3 linked regions of the Sus scrofa genome follow. The protein of the gene in region 3 binds, or shares a complex with, the protein of the main gene of each other region. Links are inferred from orthologs where the notes say so. Each region holds a gene or a part of one and is shown on either strand. Other genes may lie near its edges.

Region 1 (4,243 bases), on a different chromosome or scaffold from region 3:
CAGCCTATGCCACAGCCACAGCAATGCCAGATCCAAGCCGAATCTGCAATCTACACCACAGCTCACAGCAACACTGGATCCTTAACCCACTGAGCAAAGCCAGGGATCGAACCTGCAACCTCATGGTTCCTAGTTGGATTCGTTTCCACGGTGCCATGATGGGACCTCCCTCAGTAGGATCTTAAGAGAGGTGCTGTTTCACCTCAGGGGCTAGGGGCACATCCCAAGGGGGAGCCTGCCTTCCCATCCTGAGCTGTCCCCTCCTGCCAGTTCTCAGGACAGAGCCTGCCCACACCCCACCTGTCCTTCCTTCTCCTGGTTCCAAGCAAGATACGACTTGGCCAGGGTATCAGGAACCCTGGTCCCCTCCTCTGGGAAGGCCTCTGTCCCCCCAGTGCAGGCTGGTGCCCCACAGCCCTTGGCACCTGCCCTTGCTATTGCATCTTTCTCGCCGGCTGGACTGCTTGGGGTCAGGGACAGCATATGTGTCCCAGCCTCACCCAGCACAGAGCCTGCACTGACTATCTGTCAGGGACCCATGATGGATACGTGATCCCATGAACAAGTGCAGGAAAACATGAAGCATAATCCAACCAGGCAGGGAGAACTGAGTCTACAGTGGATGGAAAAGAGGAGGCCCAGAGGAGAGATGGATGAAGGTACAGCTCAGAGTTAGCAGCAGCAAGTTATTGATAATTGGGGTACTCACTGAGCACGTCCCACGTGCTGATATGATGCAGGGGGAGGAGCATCGGGAGTGGGTGTCTGGGGGCCTTCACCCCAGCAGATGCCCACAGGGTCGTAGGAATCCGACATCTAGGCTAACTGCCCTTGGGTCTAGTACCTTCTGGGTCCCTGCTGCAGTGGCCCTGTGGTCACGACCAGGCAGGCCTGGGCCTTGGGATCATGGATTGAGTCCAGGTTCTGGCAGGCAGGGAGAAGCCTGGAGTGAAGGCAGCCTGCCTGAAGCTGAGCAGGACCCCAGAGGGGCCAGCAGGGGACAATCTGACCTGGCACCCTCCTTCAAGCCCCTCTCTCTGTCTAGGCCCGAAGTCAGGACTCCTGTCAGGGCTCCTGGACGTCCCTACTCCTGGAGCCAATAAATACTCTTTCTAAAGCCAACTTGAAGCTGATTTTCTATTACTTGTAACCCGAGAGCTCTGGACCAAGACCTGCCGCTGGGATTTATACCTGGGTCTGTCTGGCCCCCTCTCTCTTCTCCAGTTAAGCAGGGTCCTGAGCAAAAGATGATGAAACTCAGAAGGGAGCCCATGGACAGAGGCCCAGGGAGAATCCAGGAGGACCCAGCACATCAGAATGCAGCGGGGTGGGGGGCGAGGCAAAGAGCAAGGCCCAGGACTGCAGGGGGAGCCCTTGGATAGACTGGTCAAGGATTCAGGACAAGACAAAGCGCGGATGAAGGCCATGTTCAGGGCCTAAACACGTTCTCCGGGTTCAAGGGCACAAACTGGGGTGTCTGGTCACCCGGTGTCACCTGGGCACTCTTCCGGGCAGGGAACCGGTCTCCTTGCTCTGTTAAGAACTTGGTAATGCTTTACAAAGCAGGTGGGAGCACCTATTTCGTTTGGTCTTCACATCAACACCCTACGATAGGAATTTGATTTTTATTTAAGGATGAAGATCTGGTCCTGATGCCTGGTCTTCTGGGACATACGGGGTGCAAGCTCTAAGAGACCTCGCCCCACGTCAGCTCCACCGCAAGCCTGGGACGAACCTCAGGCACGATCAGCGCGCCGATGCAGTGCGCATGCGTCCTGTGCCCGCCTCCCAGGGCTCTGACTACAACCCCCAGCATGCACCGGGCGCCGAGACCTTTCAAACTAGCCAATCCTCAGCCCGCGCCGCAGTTGCCGCGGCGCGTTTAAACCCGGGGCGGAGGCGCGTCGGCCGGGACCGCTCCGGGTGAGGGGGCGCGGGGGCGCGGGCGAGGCCCGGGGCGCAGGTCGGGGGACGTCGAGCGGGGGGCTCATGTGGCGGGGATCCCAGGCTCCCCTCGCGCGCTCCGTCGGGGCTGCAGCGAGTACGGAGCCGCCCCGGGGGCAAACCGCAGCCCCCAGCAGTCGGCCTGGGGGCTGGAATTCGGTCGTGCGGGTCCGGGGCGTTCAGGCCTGCCTCGGCCGGCGCCGCGCCGGAGCACCCGGCGTGGAGGCGCGCGGGCGCTGGGGTGCGTCCCGGAGGGTCTCGGGCTGCGCCTGAGGTGGCCTCTGCCGCCCCCGCTCCCTGGCCCGCCGCGGCCGCCAGCTCAGCTCCCTCCGCGCGGCCCGTGCTGCTCGTGCTGCAGGGCTTCTCTGGGGCTGGAGGAAGCCGGGGCTCGGCTCTGCCACCCGCTCACCCTCTGGCCCGCTCGTCCCGCAGTGACTTCTGACAGCTCTCGCCGCGGCGGGAGGAGCCGGCAGCGACGCGCCTTCGGCCAGCCAGGCCCAGCGGCGGCGATGGAGGTTCCCGAGGACGGTACGTTTTGTGACTGCAGCGCTGTTGTTCGGGGAGCTCGGGGGAGATGCAGGTCGGTTTAACGCTCTTGGGACAACTTACTCGTTTATTCATTCAGTGCTCGTCCTGTGCTCTGCACCCCTGCGATTCCTGCTCCCTGCCTTCAAGGAGTTTGCATCCGTCTACTTTTTTTTTTTTTTGGCCCTGCCCGTAGCATGTGGAAGTTCCTGGCTCAGGGCTCCAGACCCCAGCCGCAGGAGTGACAATGAGGGATCCTTAACCCCTAGGCCACAAGGGAAATCCCGTCCAACGTCTTTATTTTCCGGTTTTCTACATTCCCTTTGCTCCCAGTTTCAGCTTCATAGCCGAGATTCTTTGCGATTTTATTCACCGCAGGATCCTCAGTGCCTGGCCCGTGGTGGGTCCTCAGCTGTATTTGTGGACTTGAATTTGATGTTGCCTTTTCGCGCTCCTGCTGGTTCCCTTTTCGAAGACTTGCTTAGGATCGCCGTCGCTGCCTTAGGGAGAGAGCCTGGCCTGTGGCTCTGCTGTCTTGTTCTGTCCCTGTCTGATTTGAGTGTGGCGGTCAGAGCACAGCCTCACCAAAGGAGTTAAGGACCGTACCCTCTTTCTCTGCTGAAGGGCGGGGACATCCTTCTAGCCTTTGTTCTTCGCAGCATTCCCCCCCCCCCCCCCGGCGTGTAGACTGGGTATCCCAGCATCCTTAATGCCTCCATTTTGCAGAAACCCCCCCAGAGGCCGCCAGCCATCGGCGCTGCTTCATCAGATCTAGAACGGTCTTTGCTGCCACATCCCTCTCCTTCCGCTGCCCTCTCTGGCCCCTCCGCCTGGCATGCTGAATCCCCTTGGGGACCCCAGCCTCTCTCACCCTCCCTTTGCATCCTGACTTTTTTGCCTGTCCATCAGCGCAGGCCCATCCCTGACACATGGATGGGTCCTGTTATCTGACTTGTCCCCGTAGTCTCTGCTCCCTCTCCACTGCTCTGTGCCTCATTCAGAGCCAGGCTTCAAGAAGGTTCTCTGTTTCCCCGTGTTTTCCCATCCTCAGCCCCCACAGCTTCCTCCGCCCCCGTCCTCTGGGAAAGCTGCCTTGTCAGTGCCTGAGGACAGCCGGCTTGTCATTTTTCAACGTCTCATTACCTCTTGACCTTCTCGCCTTCTGGAAGCGTCCCTTGCTTGCCTTCTGAGGCGTCTTGCTTTTCCTCCGGCCTCCCTGGCTGGTGTATCCATCACTGTGCCCTTCTCCGGCTCTCCCAGCTTCTGAAGCTGATTCCGCAGGACCTGGTTGGGGGTCTCTCTGTATTCCACCCCCCACCCCCAGGTCCTCAGTGGTGCTGTGGCTGTAAATCCCGTCCTCCCTCAGGCGGTGCCCACATTTTGTCTTGAGCCAAACCTCTCCTCTGAGCGCTGGACGTGTACGTTCACCTGCCTACCTGGCATCAGCCGCCCGAGTGTCTCCCAGCTCTTCCTTGGCACGTCCCCCCTCCCACCTCCTTCCGAGCCGTTTCTTTGTCTTTCTCAAGGAAGTGAGCTGCCCCTCCAGTGGCAGCTGCCACCGCCACCCGGTCTTCCGTCACTGTCGTTTCCACTTTCAGAGTAGACCTTCCTCTTTCCAGCGCCACTCAGATGCCGCCACCGTGGTCTCAGCCGTAGCAGCTCTCCTCCACCTCCCCAGTATGCTTTGCGCTTTGGCCCATGTGTCCATTTGTAATTTCAGTGGATAACGCTTCTTTTCAGATACACTGTACGCAGCCACCAGGGTAGCTTTTTA
Region 2 (4,164 bases), on a different chromosome or scaffold from region 3:
GAAGGAGCAGGAAGGAAGGAGGAAGTAGTTGGAAAGAGTGCTTGCAGTGGGTTTACTCAGTGTAGTGTTGCCAGAGCTACTGACTGAAGTCTCTGGGAATCAGACAAGATGTCCAGGGGAAGATCACAGTGGGAGCATAGCACTCACTAGCCCTTGTGTTTCTAACAAATGGAGTTGACATTTATGGCTGGTTTGTTCAACTAGGAAATGTTCAAAGTCTTTTCAGTTCCTGAGCCTGTAACTTGAAATGAGAAAGAAGTGTGAGATAGACAATGGTGAACACTATGCATGGACCAGGTTGTACAGGGCCTGAAATTTCTTTCTTTTCCATACTACTAATAAATGACCATATTCTCATCATCAGATTGAAAACTACATCAAAGTATTACTGTGCAGAAGTGAAATTGCCCTTCAGCCCAACCTTGCTTCCGCTCCCCCCTAAGGGAACCGCTACTCACAGCTTGAGGCACTTCTTTCCTTTCCCTCTTGCAGTTCATAGTTGACCTTCAAGTCTCAAATCAGAAGAAGAAAATCCCAAAGGCCAAATGTGATGGTGGTTCTGCACCCTGCTCCCCACCACCCCAGTGTTTAAATGTCAGAGCACCTCCCACACTGTGCTGTGACTGGACACTTGCCATCTGTTAGTCTCCTAGACTGTAATCTCCCCTTGGCCAAGACTGGATTTTATTATATTTTGGAGACTGTTTCCTGAAGACGACTGGCTGGAGGAGTGGCAGGCTGCCTGGATAAATCAGACCTGTCTTTCTTAGGCTGGTTCTTACTTAAGGAATATTTAAGGGGCCCAGCCTTCGAGTAGGGACCCAGTCAGGTCACATAAACTCTGCTGGTGTGAAGTGAAGCCTCTCCAATGAAGAGAAATGTATAAAAATTGGACGGAAGCAACGTGGCCTTGCGGGAAAGGCCCAGGACTTGCAGGAAAGATGCCACGAAGGCATGAGACTTAATGCCACCTCTCCAAGGCTCCTAATAATGGGATTCATAATATCCACCCAGTTTAGGAGAAGAAATTTTGCAGAATGAATCAGGAGTCAGGTTGCACAGCGACCACCCCCTCCGTGCTCTCGAGGTCCTCCAGGCTGCCTTCCTCTGGTGGCCTGTGCTCACTATAATCCCTCTGTCCAGTCCGCTTCACCTCTAGACCGGGCCAGAGCTGCACCCTGTCACCACTGGTGCCCTGGAAATGCGCGCTGCTTGGCGGGAGTAGGGAGCGCGGCCCCGGCCTTCGGGCCCCTCCGGCTGCGCCTCCGTCCTGCTGACGCCCTCCTGTGGCCGCTGCGAGGCGACCTCCGGCCGTCCTGCGGGCCCCCTCCCTCGGCCGGTGACATCACCGCATTCCCGTCCCGGCTCCTCCCGCTTGCCGCCGCAGTGACAGGGAAGCCGGGCCCGGTGGCAGAGAGGAAGTGCGGGGCCGCCGCGCCGAGCCCGTCCCCGCCGAGGCCGGCTCCCCCAGGCGGCTCGGGTGACAGTGTCGCGGCCGCCGGGCGCAGCGCGGGGCACGCGCCGGGCAGAGCCAAGGGCCAGGCGGACGCTTCAGCAGAGACGCGGGGAAAATGGCTGATGACTTTGGCTTCTTCTCGTCATCGGAGAGCGGGGCCCCTGAGGTTGCCGAGGAGGACCCGGCGGCTGCCTTCCTGGCCCAGCAGGAGAGTGAAATCGCGGGCATAGAGAATGACGAGGGCTTCGGGGCACCTGCCGGCAGCCAGGCGGCCCTCGCGCAGCCGGGACCAGCGAGTGGGGGTGAGTCAGCGCGGTAGCCTGGGGACTGGGGCGGGGGGGGGGTGCTGCAGCTCGCACCCGGGGTACCGGTCTCGGGGCCCTGCGGTCGAGTGAAGAGGGCCTGCTATGTATGGCCAGCCGGGAGCAGGCCTGGGACTGTGTGTACCTGAGTGGACCTGGAAGAAATGGGGGAGGGGAGTCTTGTGGAGATTCCCCCATCTGAGGGCCCCCCTGGAGCTGTGGATCTGGTGGCTCCCAGGATAGAAATTCAGCGTGACATTTCATCCCCAAGCCAACTCTGCTACTGCCCAGCTCTGGAATCCAACACTGCCCAGCCCTGAGACTCTCTCCTGAGCGTCCCAGGAGGCTGGCTGGCCCAGGCTGAGCCCTGCAGTTGTGGGCAGAACCCAAGACCTCCCTGCCCCTCAGACTTAGCTCCTTCCTACGGCTGGGAGAGCAGGGGCACTGGCTGAGAACTCACAAACCTTCCCTGGGGACCACCTGCCATCCTGCAGTCATTGATCTTGGCATTTGACTTACATTTAATCATTTCATGTACATTCTTAAACCCATCTCAGAGATGGCAAAACTGAGGCTCAAAAGGTACACTACTGAAACAACTAGTAAGTGGCAGAGAAAGGACTCTAAATCTATTTCTTTCAGACTCTAAGCCCTTCCCACCTGACCACATTGTCTTCCAGATGCCTGGCTCTGGATTAGACCCCAGCATGGGGGCAGGGAGGTGGGGGTGTGGGGGGGTTTCAGTCAAATGTGGTCCTGTCCTCCTGGGGTTTGTAACTTAGTGGTTGTCCAAAGGTGGCCCAGGGCTATTGTGGATAGCTTCAGACTCAGGGTTTGGAGCCTGATCTTTGCACTAGCATGTTCATCAACAATATCCCTGCTCTGGTTCTGCTTGAAAGAACAATTTCTTGAAGTGTTTAGTAAAAAAGTAGACATCACCTTCATGGGTGAATCCCAAACAGCCTTTGCTTCCTCTTAATGTTGTCATTTTAGTGGGGGTTTATCAGCCTGTTGGAATAAACGGTAGCTCATCTGTTTTTAAAAACTGCTTACAAGAAAGTCTCCTTAGAGTCATGTTTGCATTCATTCAACATTTACTGAGCACCTACTATTGGCCAGGCCCAGTGGGGATGCAGATATGAATAAGATAGTTCCTGGGGCTAGAGGAACTGGGAGCATCTCTGTATTTCCTTGGCACAAAAAACCTAACAAGTCTTTTTTAACATATAAGAAACCAGAGGCCCAGAGATCTGAGTATCTTTCACAAAGTCGCACAGCCATGAGTGACAGATCTGGGACTTGATTCCAGGCCTCCCAACTCTGGGCTCCATGCTCTTTCAAATGCTATGACAGTCACCCTGGGAGGTGATAGGATATGAAGGTAGGGAGGGGGAGTCTTTTGCTACTCAAACAGGTCAGCTGTGGGGGTCATCTGGAGAAACAGCAACTCCTAATATCTCAGTATGGACCCTTATACATCCCAGGGAATTTCTAGGAAATGCGGGCCGACGTTCATACACCGGTATTCATTGGTCCACACCTCCCCCTTGAGACCACCAGCTTCCCCACTCTGGTTGGCCTGGGCGAGGCCTTGCTGGGAGAGCCCATGTTAGAACCACCCCAGAGAGAAGAAGGTAGAAGTCAGGTGGAAGGCAGCCGGAGGCAGCTGGGCGTTAAGCAGGCTGGGACCTCTCCCAGGAAAGTGGGACTCCAAGGTTTACAGCCTGGATGAGAAGTTCCCTTTCTGGCAGGGGTAGTGGTGCACTGATTGGCCCCAGGCCTGGTGGCAAGGGGAGAAGCAGGGACACCGCCCTCTCTGGGTCTCCCAGATGCACGACCACTGAAAACTGCAAAGGTCCAGCTGCTCTGCTGAGCAGCGCCCAGCGATAGGGGAGGTGTTATGGGATGGCAGCTCAATAGATGGGTAGGCAGGATGGAATTGATCTGATCCCCTAAGCCTAGATGCTACTGAGCAAGTTATCCCCCCAGACCCATGCTGAGTGCCAGAGGCCTGGCTGAGATGCAGAAAATGTGCCTCAGGCTGCTGGGAGCTGGGGCGGAAGCTGACTTCAGCAGCCAGCACCACTCATCACTTCTGAGTCTCATCTCGGAAATGACGCCCCTGCGCTGAGTGCCCTGATTTTGGGCCCCCAGCTATCCCTTGGGGAATGGTGTTTGGTGTAGACCTGAGCCTGAGCTCCTTTGAGTCTTCTGGGGCTGGAACTGTGGCCAGCCCGAGCAATGGATACTATGTTTCCATTCATCAGCCTTGGGAAGGGCCCAGGAGGTTTACATTTTCACACCCAGATTTCTATGAGCCAGCCCTGGCTCTGCCCTTGACTTGCCCAGTCATTTTCCGGCAAGCCCATTTCCCCTGATGGGCCTCAGTAAGCTCCCAGGAATGTT
Region 3 (4,220 bases):
ATCTCTTCCAGATAGTACAGTTAAGCATACAACATATCCCAGTAATATTTAGCATTGTTTTCTCTCTGCAAATCAAAATAACCATAGCAAGGACCCCTACCATTGAATTCACAACACAGTCCACGTCTGTATTTACAAGTCAAAGGGAAAATCACAGGGTAGGGAGATTTTTAATTGCAGACTCAAGAAACCTGGGAATACAGCAGAATGTATCAATCGGCATAAAAATACCTGAACCAAAAAATGAGAATTGCAGGCAACATTATACATAGCCTAGGATTTTTTTTCAGAACCTGCATTCTAGCAAAATCTTGCTCAACAGGCATTCATCTGTTCACTGCCATTAGCGTAAACATCCCCAAAAAGAAAAAAACTTTCACAACTATTTAATAGTCACTTGATGCAGTTCTGAGCCTTGATGGATGCTTTATCTGGCCAACAGTTCACCTTGTGAAGCTTTCACAGGCTAACTCTACACTCAAATTCCTCAATTCCAATTTCCAATTTTTATCCTAAGTGTTTCAGAAAGTATTCTGCTCCTAGCAAACTGGCAGGCAGTCAGAAGTCAAAAACCTAAGATGCCAATTAAAATAATCCTTATTAATTTTTATAAAGGGAAGGGACACTAATGAGAAGTCAGGCGTTATCCTGGAAGAGGTTGGTGATTAGGGCCCTGTGCAATCAATCATTATCAGCTGGAGTATACAGTCACCTTAGCATGCTTAAGCATGGCATATATATTGCTCAAAAAAATGAATGACTAAATTCTTCAAATACATTTGCGAGGTTACTTTACATTCTTCAAATTATTTGAGAAGGAAATGGCTTCACTTAAGTATTTGCAAAAACACTGAACCACTTAGAAATTAGACCCGTATTAAATCTGTCTTCAATTAGTGACAAGGTTGGAGTTCCATCTTTGGGATTATTCAACAATCTTGTCTCCTCTTTAACAAAAATGAAAAACTATTGTTCAAAACACCACTAGTCAAGAAATAAGGTTTACTAGTGGGTGGGCTATACCTCTGCTTTGTAATACAAACAATCGTAACTGCTTTTTTTCCTGTATGATTTTACAAACTTGTCTGCAGGAAGATTACAGTCCAGAAGCACTTTAGTCTGAGGACAAGGCTGTGTTTTCCCCTCAAACATTACTTTCCTAACCCCTGACAATCACTTACACCCCCGCCTTAAGAGAAGAAACCACAGCAACTAAAATTTGGATTGAGCATTAACAACTTCTGTATCCATTTTTCCACATAATGTTTTTTAACCTTTTGTAAAATAGTGTTCTACTACATCTGATAACCAAAGATAGCTGAATAAAGTGTATTCCTTAACTCATTTTTTGAGGAGATGATTATATTTCAAGACTTAAAGGAAAAGAAGTCTTGGTGATGCAAGTGTTACCTGTAAAAAAATTATTATGTTGGTAGTCAGAATATTAAACTTTTTTATTAACAGTAATCCTTTATGTATAACAATGGCAAGTAGAAAATAAAATAGCCTTCAATAGTAAAGTGTCCAAAAGGTCACTAGTATTAGTGTCACATCATTCCACTGGTACCTCTTTTGTAATAATAACATTACAAAATTAGTCCTTCAAATGACTGAACTGAGGCAGGCCTCTTTAAGGAAGTAACTGGAAAGAAAGCCTATTTTATGGATAAATTATTTCAGCCAAAGTAGAACCAGGAAAATTGGAAGCTCAAAAGAGACTTAATTCAGTCAAGCCCTCCAACGATCACCTGCCTGGGCCCGCCACGGGCATGTTGCCAGATAAGACAGTCTGTTGCCTACAGGATAATGCACCATGGGGAAGAACTCTAGAAGCTACTAAAGGAAGCCAACGGCAGACCAAATAACCTTGCATATCTCCGGGCAGGTGTGCTCTATCTCCAGGGCTCATTCAATTCCATGCAATCCTGAGGGAGATACTCAGGGCAAGCCAACTACCCGCTGGACCAGCAGACCCCAAGATAACCTCTGGACAACTCTTTTTCTCCCTTCTAGAAGCAAAGAGGGAATAAAAGCCACACCATTCCCAGAGAAATCAAAAAAGGGGAGAAAAGCCGAGTTCTCCTAGAAAACTTGATCCCACACACTCTGCGACTGACACCGCCCTGAGAAATATGTTCCCCCATTCTATCCTCCTTTTCCTTCAGTGACCTTCTCTGTTCCTACAGCCTCAGGGAAGGCGAGAGACATGCCACCGCCGTCCCCCCCCCCCACCCCACCCCAGGGAAGGTGCCTTTCCTGTTGAGAGCCGCAGAGGGAGGAAGAAAAAAGGCTGCTCCTCCCCAACCCACCCGCGCCACAACTCCAGGGTGCAGACACGAAGGGGAAATGGTAAGAGAGAGAGCAATGGGAGGTGACAGTCCTGCACTGGCCTAGGGGATAAGAATTCTTGCTCTACAAGAAACGCGGGAGAACCCTTCCCCCGCCCCCAACCTACCCAAATGAATGAACTGGATAAAACCGGGGGGTGGAAAGGTTAGTATGCGCAGTTCTTGTCATCCAGGAAGCGAAGATGAAAAAGCCTTCAAATCCAGGCCTGGCCTCGCTCCCCTATGTACCCAGACTCGCGTCCTTTCCATCCAAGCCCCCACATCATTTAACCCTTTAAGCTTTCCAAATAGTGCCCCCATTCTCCATCTACCCCAGGAACCGATTACCACCCCCCCATTCTACCCTTTTTGCTTGGGCTCAGACTCCAACTTCTTCCTTCCTACCGCCCTCTCTACATAGCCTTCACCAGCCAGGGCCCCACCGCACCTGAAGATGCTCCTGAAAACGAATTGGCAGAATCTGGGCCATGGCGCTGTCGGGGGGTATGGTCTCCTCCTGTCACTGGGGCTGCGGGGCAGTGGCTGCCCAGGCTCTCCAAGGGAGAGGAGGAGAAGGGGGAGGGGGAAGGCTGGGCTCGGCAGGATAGTCTCCGGGGACGCAGGAAACTGGCAGGCAGACGAAAGAGCTCAGGTCGGGGGCGGAGGCTCCAGGGTCCGGGAGAGCCGCAATGGCGGAACCGGGCGCAGCGCAGACTCCGGAAACGGCTGAGCCCTGCGGAGGGATCCTGGCGACAGAACTCCGCCCAAGTTGCCTCACCCCCTCCGCCTTATGTACCCCTCCACGGAGTGCCGCGATACAGCGGAGGCGCAGGAATTTGGGGCGCAGTGCGCTAAAAGCCTCACTTACTGCTACGACACGGTGGTAAATAGAGGACTCGAAGGGACTACTTTTTTAGCCTCATCACTTTCCCCGGCCGCCTGCTTTCCCTCCACCCTCCCCTTTTTTTTTGCATTTTGCCACATCATGCGACTAGGGGCGACTAACGTCATTTCCGTGGGCGCTTTAGGTCCCACCCACGTACTTCCGGGTGCACGTGATGCTGGTCGGGAAAGGTCGGCTGCTTACTGCTAGAATGCAGCGCGAATTTTAGGGAAGTGCGGCGTCTCCTGGGAATGAGGTGGCTGTTGGGCCGCCTTGAGGAACGGCGGTGCTGGTCCCTTCCCCTGTGGGCCTTACCTATTTAAACCGAGTCCCCTTACGAAGAAGACGTGGCGTGGGCAGATGGGCCCAGCCTCCCGCCCTCTCCGTGACTCAGGGAAACCGCCTCCCTGCAGAGCGCTCCTGGCAGCCGGCTGCGGCGCTCCTCCCCCGCCTAGTTTCATGTGGTGGGTGGTTTGTTACTTCCCAGGGAGGAGGGTATGAAATGGGGTTTAAAAACCCTCTCTGCACTTGTGCACGCCCTTCTGCCGTTTGCAAAAGCTGACGCTTGGGTTCTAACTAGAACTAGTAGTCTCTTCGGATATTAAACAGTTGGTTCACAGGACAGTGAAAGTCATTTATGAGTATCTCAAGCTGGCCTTGTGATAGCCTTTCTTAACGTTTCTGCGGACATTTTGGCGGACGTGTATATGGGTCTAGCTTCGTAATAAATCGTGTTGAAGAATTGTAGTGTCATGAATACACTTAAGAATTGGACTAAAATTGTAGTAGGAGGGTTTTTTAAAGTCATGTCTAGTAATGAGCCTCAAAGATTTCTTAAAGATAGTATGTAAAAACCTCGGTGTGGTTAATGTACACGCTTGGAGAAAGGGATTAACTATTACTGGTCTATTTCCCTGGGACCACCTGAACACTGTAAATTAGCAGTTTGGGGATGCAAGAGCTTCAAAGGGGGAGCACCGCGTCTTCTAACAGCATTAAGGTATCTAAGG

What was found. Proteins that work in one complex are often made in the same cells at the same time.
Region 1: the proteins of CLTC (region 3) and GTSE1 are in contact, whole or in part, in a crystal structure (PDB 6QNP), measured with the Homo sapiens proteins. The link is inferred for Sus scrofa from reciprocal best matches to the Homo sapiens genes CLTC and GTSE1. Residues at the interface, in NP_004850.1 of Homo sapiens: Val50, Arg64, Pro65, Ile66, Ser67, Ala68, Leu82, Lys83, Ala84, Thr87, Gln89, Phe91, Asn92, Ile93, Lys96, Ser97, Lys98, Asp143, Arg144, His145, Trp164, Gln182, Leu183, Tyr184, Ser185, Arg188, Lys189, Val190, Ser191, Gln192; in NP_057510.5 of Homo sapiens: Ser686, Arg687, Pro688, Leu689, Ile690, Asp691, Leu692, Met693, Ser707, Pro708, Val709, Val710, Gly711, Gln712, Leu713, Ile714, Asp715, Leu716, Ser718.
Region 2: the proteins of CLTC (region 3) and CLTB are in contact, whole or in part, in a cryo-EM structure (PDB 6SCT), measured with the Sus scrofa proteins. Residues at the interface, in NP_001139599.1 of Sus scrofa: Gln1291, Arg1293, Gly1294, Phe1296, Lys1326, Phe1327, Gln1354, Ala1355, His1356, Pro1382, Thr1383, Glu1413, Phe1414, Lys1415, Pro1416, Leu1417, Gln1444, Pro1446, Leu1447, Thr1473, Glu1474, Glu1475, Glu1503, Leu1504, Ile1505, Arg1508, Leu1533, Lys1535, Met1538, Lys1562; in XP_005661527.2 of Sus scrofa: Pro100, Ser102, Trp106, Gln110, Leu114, Ser121, Thr124, Glu125, Trp128, Arg129, Ala132, Asp135, Leu136, Trp139, Val147, Asn150, Lys151, Asn154, Arg155, Asp158, Tyr162, Glu191, Trp192, Lys194, Val195, Leu198, Cys199, Asp200, Phe201, Cys209.

The regions. Positions count from the first base shown.
Region 1 is NC_010447.5:3,243,871-3,248,113, reverse strand, and holds the start of GTSE1 (G2 and S phase-expressed protein 1), read left to right. Parts: upstream 1-1,434; 5' UTR 1,435-1,923; intron 1,924-2,376; 5' UTR 2,377-2,453; coding exon 2,454-2,472; intron 2,473-4,243. UniProt on the Homo sapiens protein: May be involved in p53-induced cell cycle arrest in G2/M phase by interfering with microtubule rearrangements that are required to enter mitosis. Overexpression delays G2/M phase progression.
Region 2 is NC_010444.4:81,463,532-81,467,695, forward strand, and holds the start of CLTB (clathrin light chain B), read left to right. Parts: upstream 1-1,355; 5' UTR 1,356-1,571; coding exon 1,572-1,758; intron 1,759-4,164. UniProt on the Homo sapiens protein: Clathrin is the major protein of the polyhedral coat of coated pits and vesicles.
Region 3 is NC_010454.4:35,847,978-35,852,197, reverse strand, and holds the start of CLTC (clathrin heavy chain 1), read right to left. Parts: upstream 2,818-4,220; coding exon 2,776-2,817; intron 1-2,775. UniProt on the Homo sapiens protein: Clathrin is the major protein of the polyhedral coat of coated pits and vesicles. Two different adapter protein complexes link the clathrin lattice either to the plasma membrane or to the trans-Golgi network.